Linked DNA regions of Elephas maximus indicus. The protein of the gene in region 2 purifies or fractionates together with the protein of the main gene of each other region. This does not show direct contact. Links are inferred from orthologs where the notes say so. Each region holds a gene or a part of one and is shown on either strand. Other genes may lie near its edges.

Region 1 (3,747 bases), on a different chromosome or scaffold from region 2:
CGGCGAGTCTGCGCGGCGAGGCACCTGCCCGCCAAGCCCTCTCCGCCGGGCGCGCTCCAGGAGCTCCGAGGTGTGGCGGCGCGCGCGCCGGTCTACATGTGCAGAGGTGGTCAGCCGGGGCCAGGGGCAACCGTGCGCACCTGGGCACGGCTCCGGGGACGCGTGTCCCTGTGCACCTGCTGGGGGCGGGCGTCTGCAGGGGCCTCTGGGTGGGGTACGTGAAGACATGTCGGTCCCCCTGTGTGTGTGGGGGGGGCCTTGTACATCCCTCTGGGGGCTTCTCCCCACGGAGCCCTCCCAGCCACGCCTCCCCTCCTCCCTCACAGGCTTACTCGCTTAGCCCTTCAGCACAGTTCTACGGACCTCTCCCCGGGCCTCGCTTCAATATGCACCTGCTTCCTCAGAGATGCCAACTTGGCCTGCGCTTCCCTAACCACAAGGCGCTCTGAGGACCCAGCGTCTTTCGAGGACCCAGCGTCTTTCCCCTTCCCTCAGTAGCCCCAGAATCTGGCTCAGGCTTGGACGTTATATGAGACGCAGTAACTGAGGGGGGAATGGGTCTGGTGTGGGGAGGGACGCCAAGGAAGGCTGTAGCAGGTGGGAGGGACCCCCAGTGAGAAGTGATGGGCAGGCTGGGAGCAGGGAAAGGCTGGTGCGGTCCACCAGAAGCCTGGTCTCGCATGTTCGTGTAAATACGTGCATGCACACGAAGTCTGACCTGGACAAAGGCCCCACAACACACATGAACAAATGCTCTCATAGAATTCACTCGCGTGCCTGGAGCCCGCACACGTATGCTCATGCGACCATCCACGGTATGTATCTGTTCTTGTGAATTAGACTGCATTCAGGGGTCTCTTGTGCCAGGAGCTGCCGCGCCCTCGCTAGAGTATCCAGGGCCTGGGGGGTGTGGGGAGGGGTGTGGGGCGCTTTGCTGACCACCAGGGACTGGTCAAACTGGGGCCGAGGAATCTGGCGCCAAGGTGCAGGGGCGAGAGTGTGCACACAGGGTGTCCCCATCACAACACAACCCTGCGCAGCTGCGCACGCCCCGCTCAGGTGGTCAGCCCTGCCAGGGCCACTCGGAAGGGCTGCTGGGTCGGGTCAGAGGGAGGAGACCACACGGTCCGGGCCCTCGGGCAGGTCTCCTCGGGCACCGCACAGAGCAAACACTCGGGAAGCGTAAAGGCCATAGGCTCAGTTTTGGGGTTCCGCGGGTTTACACAGGCTGGTGTTGCCCTTTGACACCTCGGGCCGGCCGGGCACCTCCCACCTCGCCACAAGCTGGCGCTCCCGCACAAGCGCCTGCCGGCCCCCCAGTGCTACAGCCGCGGCCGGAAGTCGTCGAAGCAGCGTTTCCGGAACTTCCGGCCGGGGAGCCTGAGGGGCGGGGCTTCGCTTGGATGGCGCACTCTGCTTCCGGGGCGCGAGTGACGTGGGGCCGCGTCCTCTTCCTGCGCCCAGGCAGTTGGGTCTCTGCTTTTTCGCTGCGGTTGCGGCCTCACTTCTTCTCTTCCCGGTCTTTGGCGTTACCGCGGCCATGAACAAGAAGAAGAAGCCGTTCCTGGGCATGCCCGCGCCGCTCGGCTATGTGCCGGGGCTGGGCCGCGGGTGAGGCCTGGGTCGCGGGGCCAGCAGAGGCCGGGCGGGCGGGGCGGGACGCGCGCTCCGGGAGGGGATTCCGGGCCGGGGTCGGGCGTAGGGGCTGCTCCCTCTGGCCCGGCCCGGTTCCGTCCGCGGCTCTGCTTGCCTGGTCGACGCTGGAGGCCCGCCCTGACTCTGCCCGCACTTCTACCTGGAGGCAGCAGGACCTAGGGCATCCCGTGGATCGCGACGGGGAAGACAGACAATAGTAAATGAGGCTCTGAGAGATACTAGGTGGTTTGGCCTAAGCCCTGTGGGAGGCAAGGGGCTTTGGAGTCAGGACAGACCTGTCTGTCAACCTGCCTACTACTTAGTAGAGTGTTTCTGGGTTTAGGTACATATCTGAGCCCTTTTTTGCGTCTCTCCAGTGGGCGATAGATAATGCCCGCTTGAGATCCGCTGTGATAGATGAATCCCTGACATGTAGTGGGAATTCCAGGACCGGCTTCCCCAGACGGGGCAGGCCCACTCCTCCAGCTTGTCTTGCCTTTCCTCAGCGCCCGGGCTGGTTAGGTCCCTCTGTTGTGGCCACTCCTAGTGTTCCATTCTTTCTCTTTAGTATCTGCCATCATAAGCTGCTTGTTCAGAATGTCAGCTCCACAGGGGCTGGAATGGCATCTATGAACTTTGTGATTGGTCTCCCACACCTGCAACACAGATGGCCACCCTAGGTTGTTGAATAACTGAGCAGTCATTATCCTATTTGTTTGGATATTCATTTGGTTTGGAAAACTACTGCGTTTCTCTCTTGTGAGTACTAAGAATCTGTGGGGTACACGCAAGACTCAGATGTTGACCCCCTGTACAGAGGAGCTGCCTTCACTAGGGAAGGTGAGGTATTTGCATAAATAACCACATAAAGAGGAACAGGTTGAGAAGCCTTTGATCCAGATTTAGGAGGAGGGTCAGGTTTAGAGATGCAGAAACATGGCAGGGGTAGAGGAGACTGACATTCTGTATGTGGTTAGTGAAAAACAGGAGTGGCTTGGAGGGAGACGGAACAGCATGGAGTCCCATATGAGTGGAATGTGCAGTGAGTAGAAGGCAGCTGGAGGGGCCAGTGGAGCATTGCACATTAGGTTAGAGCTTGTGTCAGCATTGGAAAGACAGTGACATGTCATCTTGTGTTGAAGCCTGGATGAATCGGGTAGAGCAAGGGAAGGCTACAGGCAGGGGTGGCTAACTTGGCATCCAGCTATATTGGGGGCCATACAATCTGAGGAGGAGAGATTTCAGATGTAGAATCAAAAGAACTTGGAGCAGATTGGATGGGGCTGGGGAAGGAGGGAGGGAGGGAGGCAGAGTTGATGCCATGTGCTGCCTTCAGCTGAACTAGGGTACCTGGAGCAGGAGAGGAGTGCAGTCTTGGCCAAGTAGGGTTTGAGAGACTGATTGGAGTGGAGGTGGAGATGATCAGCGGGGTGTTGGAAACATGAGGCTAGAATTTGGGAGGTGGGAGGCCATGATGTCCTGTGCAGGGAAGGCTTGGGTGAGAAGAGGTCTCCTTGGTGGCGCCCAGGGTAGGTTAGAGGGGTCATTGCCTAGAGGAATGAGCACACCAGTGTGTTTGCAAGTGGCCATGCTTAGCTTACCACCCCAGGGTCTTTCAGAGGTTTCTGAGGTGTTAGAGGGGTGTTATTAAGCGATGGTCGAGGTTGGAGAGGAAAACACAGGAACAGGGTCACCCAGATGTGGCAGGGGGTGGAATCCATATGGATGTCCTGGGGTCTCCTGCAGTGCCACTGGTTTTACCACCCGGTCGGACATTGGCCCTGCCCGGGATGCGAATGACCCTGTGGATGACCGCCATGCTCCACCAGGCAAGAGGACCGTTGGGGACCAGATGAAGAAAAACCAGGCTGCAGATGACGATGACGAGGACCTGAATGACACCAACTATGATGAGGTAATGTGTGGTGTCTTCTGTGGCTCCCTGGCCAGTCCCTGAAGGGAAGGGCTGGACAGCTTCTGTTTTTTTGGCTTTAACAAACAGGAACTTCTTTCACAGTTCAGGAGACTAGATTTCTGAATTTAGGGCTCCAGTTCTAGAGGAAGGCTTTTTCCCTCTGTCAGCTCTGGGGCGAGGTCCTCGTTTCAACATTT
Region 2 (3,747 bases):
GTCAGGAGCCTTTGGACCTGGGGTTCCTGCACAGAGAACCTCCTAAGCCAAGGGAAAATTGATGACAAGGACCTTCCTCGTGAAAGTCCACAGAGAGAGAAAGCCTTCCCCTGGAGCTGATACCCTGAATTTGGACTTTCAGCCTACTAGACCGTGAGAGAATAAATTTCTGTTTTTTTTAAAAAAAACTAACCAATTCCCTCGTTAGGGTTCCATACACCTTATTTGTATTGTTTCTCCACAAGGGTGCCATATACCTTATTTGCATTATTATCAAGCTGTCCAATCCCTCTGATTGGAAAAGCATATTATTTGCATAGTCCTACCTAGTCACTGGAAACCCTGGTGGCATAGTGGTTAAATGCTACAGCTGCTAACCAAGAGGTTGGCAGTTCAAATCTGCCAGGCGCTCCTTGGAAACTCTATGGGGCAGTTCTACTCTGTCCTATAGAGTCGCTATGAGTCGGAATCAACTTGATGGCAGTGGGTTACCCGGTCATTTGGTGGGAGTTACAAGATAATACTGAGAAAAGCCATATAAAAGTGATTCACTGCACTGCACCATAATTGTAAACTACTCAATGTCTTCTGAAGAACTGTTCAGACACTGTATTTGAGCACTCTATTGAGCAGCATGCATGGTTCTTGCTTTCATATCAAACTCATTTTCTTTGTTAAATATTTCCAAATAAGTGAAAGTGGGACACGTTAAGACCAAGTAAAATGCCATTAACACCAACTGCTCTGTTGGCGGGGATGGATGCCATTCATACTGCAAGAGTTTCGATATATACATATGTATATACACACACGAGTGTGAGCGCACACACACACAAAGTTTATTTTAAATTTAGTATTATTCGAATGTGAATAAAATATCGCTGAACCACTGCTCAAAATGAATCTGAACCATCCCCTGAAATCAAATTTGTTGTTGTTAGGTGCCACCTAGTCACTTTAGACTCACAGTGACCCCATGTGACAGAACAGAACTGCCCCACGAGGTTTTTTAAATGGACATACTACTACAGAACTTTTCACAGACTACTAGAAAAATCAACTGCATAGCATGAGATTTGTGCTGCATTGGTATAAATGTTATAACTGTACCACAAGTGAACTCAGTCAGAAAAATAGGAGACTAAGTCTATATGACACTAGTTCGGAAATCTTAAGTCAAACTGTGAAGATACTAAGTAGCTTTCAAAAGTCTTTACTGAAAAACTTCGTATATTCTCTGCCCAGTAAAGCAAATCACACGGAGGAGCCCATAACAGGATGCACACAGGCCGTCTAGTGGCAAAGGTTTCTCCCATCTTCCAGTCACAAGTTGCTGCAAGACTTTATCTACCCCTTTCCTAAGATGGCTAGAAACAAATCTGATAACACCCGTGCAAAAAACGGTCGCTATAGGAATACTGTTTAACGATCTATTTCTTTCAGATTGTTTGCAGTTTTCCCAACATAAACACGAAAAATAAAATACTGCTTTTAGTTAAGCAATGTTGAGCCTGTGCAGCACGCAAAAGTATGTTTTCACTTGGCTTAGACTCTTATATTAACTTAATTATAAACATAAAATCCTTTGGTTTGGAAATAACTAATAATTTCCACTATTTCTTCTTCTCGTCCTAAAAAGCTCAGGTCAAAAATGCTAGGCCTCAACACTAAAAACTGCTACCTTACTTTGACTCAAGTTTGCAAGTTGGCAAGTAAACTGCCAATGAACAGGAAAAAAAAAAAAAAAAATACCGGGCGGTCGCTGGAAGAGAGTACAAGGTTGAGGATATGGAAGTATCCCGCTGTCCACAAGCTACAGATCTGGGATGGTCAAGAGTGTGACCCCAGCACGGATTCTCTCCCTCTGCTTCCAGATCTTAAAACTAACACCGATAACACGGCGACCGGAGGTGTTGCATAGGCAAGAAAAGACTTAGGGCTTGCGACGCCTGCCGCCACTGCCTCTCGGGTCCCCAGCACCGATGCCGGTGAGTGCGCGTACAGGGAGCTCCGCTCCACGTCGGAGGAAGAGCAAGGCGCGACCCTCAGGGTCGCTGCAGCCGCCCCGCGCACCGCACCTGTAGAGGCCGCTCGCGCCTACGCCTCCCGGGGCAACGACGCGCGGCAAGCCGCCGACTCCTCCGACCCAACAGCCACGGTCTCTGGGGGAGCGAGGCTCCAAGGCCGCCCGCCCTCTCCCCACGCCTGCCGCCCCACAACGTACCGCGCGGGGAAAGAAAGTTTGCCTCCCGCCGCTAGGCCTCAACTTTCCCGCCCGTCCGTGCAGGTCCCCGCCGGCTCCCATTCGGCATTACCCAACCCCGACCTTTCGGACCCCACTAACAGAGACCACTTACTCTGGCTGTTCCCGCAGCGACGGAGTCTCCGCGGCGGCCATCTTGAACTTCCTGACTTCTTGGCGGTAGCGGCAGCGGCTGGCCGGACCGTGCAGGCAGGCAGTAGTGCAGGAAGAGGAAAAGGAACCGTCGCGCATGTGCTGAACGCGTTGGAGAACACGAAGCTGTGAGTCCGCTCTAAGAATCCGGATATAAAACACTGCATCCGGGGACAAGCGCCGAGCGTCATGATGCCACTTCCGGGGTGTTGGGGGCGGTGCTTGCGTGTGGGTTAAGGGCGGACGACTTGGCGTTCTGGGTCGCTTCGTCAGTGCGGAAACCCGGAATGTGGTCCTGAGGTTTCTGGAGAAGGCAGCAAAGGGAGTAGGATGTGGGTTTCGCGTGTGCAGATCCAAAAACTGATTTGCTGTGGGGCCCAGAAATTGGGTTAGAATTTTTCTTAAACCAGGGCAAACGAAATAATTATTTTGAGCCTGGGCTGTGTTACGGGAATAGTAACCTGGCTAGACGATTGTCTGAAGGGGCGTTAAGGGAAGGTTTGTAGAAGTGCACTTTGAGAATACTGTACCTAGAATGTAAACGTCTTTTAAAATGGAACTATTATTGATATATTTATTTGGAACTTTGGAACTTAGTTTCAACTTTTGCTAAGTCTGAGAATAACACGATTCAGGAGTCATTCAGTTCGTTGGTTCTGACGATTGATTTTTTTAATGAATTCTTTTTATTTATTGGTCCAAATTGTTTCGTGTGGTTTTGTTTTTCCTTAATGATGGACTCTAGTAATGAAATATTGTATGTGACAACATTTACTGGCTCTTGGTGAGCCAGGTAAGTTCCTAAATTCCTCTCAAAAAAAAAAAAAAAAGACAGCGTTCTCCATACTCTTGAGTTTGGATTTTTCCTCGAGTACGTTTCTGGATTTCCATAGGGGAACAGTTCCAAATATTCTACCAAATAAGGCACTGATTGACTAAATTCCAAAAGTGTTGAAAGTATTAAGCCTCCCTCCCCCCTTAATAATGTGGAATACGAAATTATTCCTTAGATAATTGTTGACTTTTGTGGATTTTTTTCCCCAGGATTGTAGCATATCTTTATAGGATCTTTAATTATATTCTCTTAAGAAAGAATTACTCCCATCCTTAACAATCAGATTCAGGTGTAATAACTTAGAAGACTTCTTTTGAAGGAAAAGTTTTCAGAAATATATCAAGAATGGTTTTTATTTTCAACCATATATCTAGATACTGAAACCCTTTGCCATCAAGTCGATTCATAGCAGCAGTATGGGACAGAGTAGAACTGCTCCATACTGTTTCCAAGAAGCTGCTGGTGGATTTGAACTACGACTTTTTGGTTAGCAGTCAAGCCCCTACCTACTATACCA

Evidence for each region. Proteins that work in one complex are often made in the same cells at the same time.
Region 1: the proteins of PRPF4B (region 2) and PRPF6 purify together in Homo sapiens (affinity purification with mass spectrometry; 3 studies listed by BioGRID and IntAct, with this or other methods). This does not show direct contact. The link is inferred for Elephas maximus indicus from reciprocal best matches to the Homo sapiens genes PRP4K and PRPF6.

The regions. Positions count from the first base shown.
Region 1 is NC_064843.1:4,138,388-4,142,134, reverse strand, and holds the start of PRPF6 (pre-mRNA-processing factor 6), read left to right. Parts: upstream 1-1,449; 5' UTR 1,450-1,540; coding exon 1,541-1,611; intron 1,612-3,381; coding exon 3,382-3,550; intron 3,551-3,747. UniProt on the Homo sapiens protein: Involved in pre-mRNA splicing as component of the U4/U6-U5 tri-snRNP complex, one of the building blocks of the spliceosome.
Region 2 is NC_064819.1:45,206,202-45,209,948, reverse strand, and holds the start of PRPF4B (serine/threonine-protein kinase PRP4 homolog), read right to left. Parts: upstream 2,573-3,747; 5' UTR 2,495-2,572; coding exon 2,358-2,494; intron 1-2,357. UniProt on the Homo sapiens protein: Serine/threonine kinase involved in spliceosomal assembly as well as mitosis and signaling regulation. Connects chromatin mediated regulation of transcription and pre-mRNA splicing.